3 linked regions of the Sus scrofa genome follow. The protein of the gene in region 2 purifies or fractionates together with the protein of the main gene of each other region. This does not show direct contact. Links are inferred from orthologs where the notes say so. Each region holds a gene or a part of one and is shown on either strand. Other genes may lie near its edges.

The links.
Region 1: the proteins of SLC22A15 (region 2) and VAPA purify together in Homo sapiens (co-immunoprecipitation; 3 studies listed by BioGRID and IntAct, with this or other methods). This does not show direct contact. The link is inferred for Sus scrofa from reciprocal best matches to the Homo sapiens genes SLC22A15 and VAPA.
Region 3: the proteins of SLC22A15 (region 2) and VAPB purify together in Homo sapiens (co-immunoprecipitation; 3 studies listed by BioGRID and IntAct, with this or other methods). This does not show direct contact. The link is inferred for Sus scrofa from reciprocal best matches to the Homo sapiens genes SLC22A15 and VAPB.

What each region holds. Positions count from the first base shown.
Region 1 is NC_010448.4:98,211,835-98,214,053, reverse strand, and holds the end of VAPA (vesicle-associated membrane protein-associated protein A), read left to right. Parts: intron 1-699; coding exon 700-858; 3' UTR 859-1,719; downstream 1,720-2,219. UniProt on the Homo sapiens protein: Endoplasmic reticulum (ER)-anchored protein that mediates the formation of contact sites between the ER and endosomes via interaction with FFAT motif-containing proteins such as STARD3 or WDR44.
Region 2 is NC_010446.5:104,752,868-104,756,795, reverse strand, and holds the start of SLC22A15 (solute carrier family 22 member 15), read left to right. Parts: upstream 1-1,128; 5' UTR 1,129-1,259; coding exon 1,260-1,346; exon of another isoform or gene 1,347-1,743; intron 1,744-3,928. UniProt on the Homo sapiens protein: Organic zwitterion/cation transporter with apparent specificity for amino acids and their derivatives. Has low affinity for its substrates and may regulate their flux across the plasma membrane at high substrate concentrations.
Region 3 is NC_010459.5:58,640,536-58,642,979, reverse strand, and holds part of VAPB (vesicle-associated membrane protein-associated protein B), read right to left. Parts: intron 1,969-2,444; coding exon 1,792-1,968; intron 1-1,791. UniProt on the Homo sapiens protein: Endoplasmic reticulum (ER)-anchored protein that mediates the formation of contact sites between the ER and endosomes via interaction with FFAT motif-containing proteins such as STARD3 or WDR44.

The DNA.
Region 1 (2,219 bases), on a different chromosome or scaffold from region 2:
CCCTCATCTGTTGTACTTGTAGTTGCCATTAACAAAGGATTTTGCATTTGCTCTGCAGTCCAGACCCTGTGCCGACCTCCTGCTTTGCATGGGGCACGTCAGAACACTACGTTTAAATATTGTCCTGAACTTCCCCCTTCTCCCAAACCCTTTCAGGTCCTATCTGTCCCCTGAACCTCTGCTGTGCGAGTGCCCTAACTCAGACTATCTGACCTAACTTTGTTTCTGGTAGTCTGTGGCTCAGGGCTAGGACAGGTGTAAGCAATGTCAAGCTACTGTGGGCCACTGGGAAATAACTGCATGCAGAGAATTCTTCAGTTGTGTTCATTTTAGTAGGATTTTTCCTTCTATGTAAATGTAACTGTAGCTGATATTTCAGTTTTTTGGGAGTATATTTCTTAGCTCCAGTTTTAAAAATCAGCATTATTGAGGTGTAATTTATATTCCATAAGGACACCTGTTGTGAGTATACAGCTCTGATTTTTAGTAAATTTATAGAATTGCACAGCCATCCCTGGAGCCCCCTTTTAGAACGTTTCTGTCCCCCTAGAAAGTTTTATTAGGCCAGCTAGCGGCTCATCCCTGTTGTCACCAAGCTGCATGCATCCTACTTTGCTTCCTTGTCTGTTCATTTGTAGCTCAGTCCTCTTATGCATATTCGTTTTTAAAACCTTTCTTTGTGCATATATTTTTTCCTAGGATGAAGGCTTAAGGCTCAGAAAGGTAGCACATTCGGAAAAACCTGGATCCACCTCAGCCGCGTCCTTCAGAGATAATGTCACCAGCCCTCTTCCTTCACTCCTTGTTGTAATTGCAGCCATTTTCATTGGATTCTTTCTAGGAAAATTCATCTTGTAGAGTGAAGCATGCAGAGTGCTATTTCTTTTTTTTTCTCCCGACCAGAAAAAGATTTGTTTACCTACCATCTCACTGGTAGTGTGGCCCACGGTGACCATTCTTTGTGTGTACAGCGTCATGTAGGCCTCGCCTTTAAAGGTCTCACGGTTAGAAATCAGTAAGAGCAGAGTGTTCGGCGCCTGGACAGAGTGTACGTGGCCAGACCATCACTAGCAGGTGTCAGTTGCACATTCAGTCCTTTATGAAATTCATAAATAAAAAATTGTTCTTTCTTTGTGGTTTTAATAAGAGTTCAAGAATTGTTCAGAGTCTTGTAAATGTTATTTTAATAATCCCTTTAAATTTTATCTGTTGCTGTTACCTCTTGAAATATGATTTATTTAGATTGCTAATCCCACTCATTCAGGAAATGCCAAGAGGTATTCTGTGGGGAAATGGTGCCTCTTACAGTGTAAATTTTCTCCTTTACCTTTGCTAATATCATGGCAGAATTTTTCTTATCCCTCGTGAGGCAGTTGTTGACTGAGTTTTTCACCCTTACAATCCTGTCCCATGGTATTTAACATAAAAATAATAAAACCGTTAACAGATTCTTGCTCGATAGCTTGTGTGTGTCTGTCATGTCATTAGATGGGATACCAGGGCGTGCGCTGTGGTGATTTGGGTTATAAAATGTGTAATTTATCTCACACTGAACCCTTTCATATATTACAGTATTTGCGGGGAAGAGTCCTCATTGTTTTAAGCAAAGGAATTGATAACATTTCAGGCCGCTTTTGGCATTTTGGAAGATCAAAATCCATTTGTCTTCGAGATAATATAAAATAAGCAATGAGAATAAAAGTGCTGTGATTTCAGTCAGTTTACGTGTCTGCTGCATGGCTCTGTTGTGTTTATTTTACTCTAGTCTTCATAGGTTCTTTCAGTATCTTCTCAAGAAAGCCTAATAATGCTTCTTGGTTCTAGTCACTGCTTTTTGACCAGCCTAATAATTCCTTTTATTTTAGAACATTTCATTGTAATAGTTAAAAGTGGTTTTTTTCCCTGTCCAGTTTGATACTCAAAAGTAAGTTTCCATTATGGAAATTTGTTATGACTTGAGCCTTGGGAATTCCTTTGTGAAAAATGACCCTATCCTTGCCCCTGTCAACCGTGTGGTATGTTTTCAGTGTAAATGCAACATTATGGGGTCTGGTGTACTTTCCTGCAATTAGTCTTTTATTTGGTTAATCTGTGCCAGCATAGAAAATTTTGGAACCAGAGAAGATAGAGTCACTTTTTCTGCTAAGTACAATGTAATATAAGTGAATTTTGATTTTTGAAAATTGGTGTTGGTTTTGTAAAAGATGCACTTACATCTG
Region 2 (3,928 bases):
GTCTATCTCTCTCTCTCTCTCTCTCTCTCTCTCTCTCTCTATCTCTCTATCTCTGTAATAACAAGGCTCATCTTGCAAAATAAGCCAAGTCCAGATGGTTTCAACAGGTTTACCAGGGTTCCCTTGTGCCTCATAGGCTTGGGTTGCTGTGGCACAGGTTCCGTCTCTGGCCAGGGTAACTTCCACAGGCTGTGGTCAGAACCAAAAAGGAAAAAAAAAAAAAAAAAAAAAAAGGAGTTTTACCAAATACTTCCAACTCATTTTACTAAACTTCTATAATCTTACAGCCAAATCCAGACAAGAGCAGTTACAAGAAAATTAGAGGTCCTTCTCCCTCTCCTAGAGGTAAAATCCTGGATAAGGCATTATAGCTGTTCATCTCTTCTGTTAACTATTGTATTGAGGGCCACAGTCTGGACAGTGGACTACTATGCAGCTGTTAAAATCGACCTAAGCAGGTTCAGAAAAGTGGGGACTTAAAGCAGGCAACCAGCGTCCCTAGTTCCTGTTGCATCTTTTTCCATTTCCAGCCGGGCACACTGCTGTTTATCCTTCAATCACCTTGGCAGCCATCATGTCCTGTCCCACAAATTAATCTTTCAGTTTTTTTGTATTTCCTTCGTACCTCGTGCATATATCTATAACCAAATACATCTTATGGTTTTGCAAGGATTTGACTACCTGTGACCTGACCTCATAGGGTAGCACTGAGTAGCACTGGAAAAAAATGTTGAACACCACTCATCTCTGAAAGATCTAGAACCCATTCCCTCTCCCCTCATTAAACTGATTTGTACAAAAAAGCAAATAATGCTGAGCAGTCCCCAGGTCACCCAGCACTCATCGCCGAAGCCGGGGCCGTGGCAGCTGCCCTTTTCGTGTTTCTCCATCAGAGAGATGCCTAAGCTCGAGCCCACTTCCACTTCCTCTTTCCTTTAAGCGCCGCAGACACTCATCCTTCTCAGAAAAAAAAATCTTTAACAGGAAGCGCAGAGGCCCGGGTACCCGGCCTCCCGCCCCGGACTCGCAAGCCCGCGCGGCCCCCGGCCCCGCCCGCGCAGACGCGCGGCCCGCCGCCCCGCCCGCGCACCCACGCCGCGCCGGGCTGGGAGCCGGCGGGGCCGAGCCGGTGCCGGGCGCCGTGGGGCTCGCGCGCTGGGCCCGCCGCCGAGGGCCGCGCCGGAGCGGGGGCGGTAGAAGGGCAGGCCAGGGCCGGGCTCCTGCTGGCGGCGGGGCCGAGGCGGAGCGCGCGGCCCGCCATGGAGGTGGAGGAGGCGTTCCAGGCAGTGGGCGAGATGGGCATCTACCAGATGTACCTGTGCTTCCTGCTGGCGGTGCTGCTGCAGGTGAGTCCCCTGCCGCTCCGACGGTCCCCCATCCCCAGCTCCTGCCCGCCCGGCCTGGGGCGAGGCGTACCCCACCCCAACGCCGAAACGCCCCAACGCCCGGCCCGTACGCCGAGGCTCTGCAACCCGCCGAGGTGCGGAGAGCCTATCCAGCCTCCACTTCCACCCCGCGCGGGGGCGGCCCTGGGCGGGCGAGGCGTCTCGCGTTAGCCTGGGCCCCCGAAAGCCAAGGGCGCGGGCCCGCCTGTCAAGCTTTGTGCCTGCCCAAGCCTCAGATCCTTAGGCGCCTGCACCCCTCACCTCGGGTGTGGGTGTATATGTGGGAGGTACTTAAGCCGAAGAGCTGGTTAGTAAGAGATGCAAAATTCCATTGTTACCAGTCATACGCCGTGAATACGAAAGGGAATTTCTAACCTGTGGCACCGTCACCTTGGAATCTGGAACACAGAGAGGGCCCTGATCATTGGCTGACAAAAGGGCTGATCTAGAGCGGCCACCTTCAGCTCCGGGTATCTACTTACCTTCTTTTCCTGGATTTGAAGGTGCTTCCTATCCTGGGGACGTTCAATGCTTAGGGTTTATTTCTCTCTGGCTTAGGGTGGGCTGGGACATTCTGCCCAGAGCCTCCTTGGGCAGAGTCTTTTATATGTCGATAGTGCCATTTACAACGTGCGGTATAAAATGGAATCAGCTTCTTCCTTGTACAGAATTCTCAGAGACTCCGTGCACACCCCAGCCTAAAAATGTGGCTTCCATATGCTCAAGGTCGCTACAAACACACTTTGCCAGGCAAGAGTTACTCCTCCTTTGCCAGCTTAAATGGCCCAGTTGGCATCAATTCATTTATTCTAAAGGCCTTTCATTCACAAATGCTTTATTCGTATCTACCCTGCTAGCATAGCATTTCTGCTATGCGTGGGCCCTTTAACTCCTTCCTGCATTTAACAGTTTAACTAGTGCCTACTGCGTGCTTAGCAGGGACTGCAATCAAAGCCCTTTTCCTGTGAAGTTTGCCTTTCTGGTGGGGTCAGGTGAAGCAGGCAGGCAGTTAAATAATTACAGTTCACATGTGATGATAGTTTTTCTGAGGGAAGGGCAGGGTGGTATATGGACATAATTGCCAGTCCACCAGTTGCTTAAACCTTGTGCAAGTCAACTGCTTAACAGGAAGATGGGGGCCAGGGAGGTAAGGATAGACTAAGTGATTCTCTTTGCCATTACAATGTTTGAAAGTTAAAAAATAAATAAATAAATAAATTTAAAAAAAGAGGAATTCCCGTTGTGGCTCAGTGGTTAATGAATCCGACTAGGAACCATGAGGTTGTGGGTTCGATCCCTGGCCTCGCTCAGTGGGTTAAGGATCCGGCGTTGCCATGAGCTGTGGTGTAGGTTGCAGGTGTGGCTCGGATCCTGAGTTGCTGTGTCTCTGGTGTAGGCCGGCAGCTACAGCTCCGATTCGACCCCTAGCCTGGGAACCTCCATATGCCATGGGAGCGGCCCTAGAAAAGGCAAAAAGACCAAAAAAAAAAAAAAAATTGTTTAATAAAAGTTCAGTTGATTTCAACACCAGCCATAAGAATCATTCAAAACAACGCACTGATAGATGAAGTCTGTTCTTTCTCTAGCAAAACAAATTCTCAGTTCACAAATATGTAATATTCTGAAGTTCTTAAAGTGTGTGGTTTTAGCTCTAAGTGTACTCTCCTGTGGGGAAAGTATCTGTGCTAAATCACAGAAGAGTACTTAATGCAGAGAAAACAGAATTGTAACCATGATCCCTGATGTTCATATAGAATACTTTTTCTTTGCGAAAATTCTTTTCCTGTTCTAACCAAAATTTCAGCCACATGACTTCCTCTCTGAGTAATCCTTCCTCCTCATTCCTACACTCTGCCGCCTCTGTCATTTTCTCACTTGCCTCGCTAGGTATGCACTGGCATTTATAAGTTTGTTTTGAGTGGAGTGTGGCACTAAAAAAGGCCACAGTTCTGGGTTCAAGACCTGTTCAATTTCTGTCACTTACTTTTCCTTATGGTTGACCCAGTTGGTTAGAGTTTGGTACCACAGAGATCTAAACCCATGGCCTTGGCTGTTCATTGCACCCTGCCTGACACATGGTCAGTGTTCATCAGAGAAGAATTAGCTCTTAGAGTGTTGGGACTGAATGATTGACTGTTATCTTGTAGGTGTGAACTGGGGAGGTGCCCTGTAGCTGTGCTGATCCCCAAAGAGTAGATGCCCAGGTCCAGGCAGAAGTGAATTCTTCCCAGCTGTTAACTGGTTACGAGGACTCAAACTGCCAAATGGTCCTAAGGTCACCCAAAGCTATCCTGGATATGAGAGTCCAGTGCCCCAAGGACCATACTACCCGGTCTGCTATCGGACCTGGCTTAGACCAAGGGAGCTGGCCTGCAGGGTGAGGGTGCTGGAGCATCCCATCACGTAGTTGTGACATGTCACAGGATGCTTTCATCATTCTCGTGGGCCCTGTTTCCTCCAACAGAGGCAAAGTAAGAAACCTTCTTCAGAGTTGCCTCGAATGGAAGGAGGTTGGTGTTTGCTTTTAAACCAAAGCACTTGTT
Region 3 (2,444 bases), on a different chromosome or scaffold from region 2:
AGAAGCCACGCCCGTCTTCACACACAGAGCAGACACCTGCCACGTTCCGGTCCCTGCACAGCCCTGCTCTCCCTGGTCACTCCCCAGCAGGGCCCACTCCGAGGCCTCCCGGCCAGAGGGCACCCTCCACTCCCTCCCTGGCAGCCTCCACAGCGGGGGCACTTTCTTTGCTTCCCTCACTTGGCTCACGTTCACCACGTGCCGGCAAGGTCGGGAGACCCCAGGCGGCCAGCCATCGCGCCGACCCTCCCTGGCACCTGAGGCCAACTCTGTGGGACCCCTCATGACACGGGTTGTGAGTGCCAGCGTCTGTGGTCAATAGAGTGCTCTTATGGGCAGGGCCCGCCCGTGTCTGTATCCACAGTGCTGGGGACCCAGTAGGGTCTCAAGAAATGTGCCAAGTGAGGGCATGAAACAACACAAAACAAGAAATCAGTGTTTGGCAAGATAAAGAATCTTCTAACGTCAAGACTGGTCTGAGAGTACATTAAAGATACACAGCTCGTGGGGCACAGCCAAGAGCGTACGCAGTGATAAAGGACTGGTGCTGTTTGATTAACTCCCCAAAAAAGGACACAGCAAAATACAGCATTTATTTCATTGGGTTTATATAGAAGCTATTTCTAGCTATTTATCACTTTAAATGGCACAGAACTCTGTTTCTGAAGAGAAATACATTCAAGGAGAAGCTCTAGGCGTGTCGTAGATTTTTCGCCAGAAAGTAGGGTGTCGGCCTCATAATTGACTCCACACTCAAAGGGCGGCCAAACGAGGCGATAACTGCAAAGAGGGAGGAGCTCCCCAAACCGTCGGCCCCCCGCGTCTGCCACACGGTCAGAGCCAAAGAAGGCCGGGCCAGCTGAGACGAACTCATCCCACGTACCTGCTGTCATGCGGAACGTGACCGAGATGGAGAGAAGGGATCGGCCCCAAGATTTAAGCTGCCACCAAAGCCCCTGCGATGAGCTGTGCAGCAGGGCTCTCTTTAACGTGTGCGGGAACCAGACCTACCACTCCCCACTCTGCAAGGGGCCTCAGAAGTGCTCTGCGAGCAGAGGCCTGCTCCCGGGCCTCTGTGTGGCTAAGAAAGAGCCACAGCTCGTTCAAGTCTGGCTAGCTGTTTCCACAACACGCAAAGCCTCCGAGGCCAAGAGAAGTGCACCGGCCCCCCTCCACCACCCAGGGCAACCTGACCCGCCAACACCAACGCCAACGGCCGGGTCAACGGCCACCAGCTGGAGACTCGGGTCTCTCCCGCCATCTCCACCCACCTTATGGTGACAGCGTCCCACCTCCAATCTCATCACTGTGTTAACAGTGTGATAACACCCTACTGCCTAAACCGATTCAGAATCCTCAAAAATCCGAACTACGCAAACTGTGTTAAAAAGACTACACAAGGGGATTTACCCTCTTTAAAAAGCTTCTCATCCAATGGGAATGGAATGGAGTTTGAAGATGGGAATTCAAGATAAGCACTGCTGTCTTATTTTTAGTCTCAGAATTAAATTTCAACTTACAGCAGCGGAGGGTGGGAGGGATTGGGGGTGTTTCTGTTTGAATAGTCGAGAAGCCTCTGCTCAAGGGACCCTGGCTCTTGACTGGGGGGTGTGTGGAGGTGTGCTCAGGACCCTTTGAGAACTCGAGGAAAGGAGTGGAGATTGCCGCCTGGAGGGAAATGTGCCAACACGAAACCGCCCGACAAATCCGGGGGTGCGTCAACATCCCCGCCCAGGATCGGAGGGAAAGAGCCCCCTTCTCCGCAGACATCAGGAAACAAAACACGGGTACCTTCAACTGCTTGTTCTCCTCCCGCAGCCTCTGGACCTCGCTCTGCAGCCGCTTACACTCTTCCATCACCTTCTTCACTTCGGTGTCGTCCAGAGCGGAACTCAGGGCTTTAGACACCACTGGCGTTTCTGTCTTTGATGCAGTTGTGGATATAATTTTATTTATTTCTACATCATGCTGTTCAGAAATAAATGAAAGCCCGAGTGTCACCAACTATGTAATAAAGGACTTTTTTATGCAAAGTAAAGTAGTTCTCAGCAAATACCACACGTGGTAGGGTTTCATCCACACTGTAAAATGTCACATTTATTTTTAAAATGGATCGCTTTACCTAGTATCTTAATAATCTCAGCAACTGGGCTCCAGAAATTATGGACAAGGGCAAATAATGAAGCTCGGCTGAGACTAACACTTCAGCGCAAGAGAAGAGGAGCTGGGCATACTGCACGTCAAACCCCTGCCATGCAGAAATCAGCATCCCGCAACGGTGCAAGCTCAGGAATTATTAGCCACAAATCACTGTCGCCACGAAGGTCTCAACACCCCAGGACGCTGCGTGGGGGTGGGAGGCTGAGGGCCATTTCTTTCACGAACTTCTAACTTCGAAGGTGGGGTACAGGTGCCACAAGCTCAGTGTCTATGACAGCTCAGCC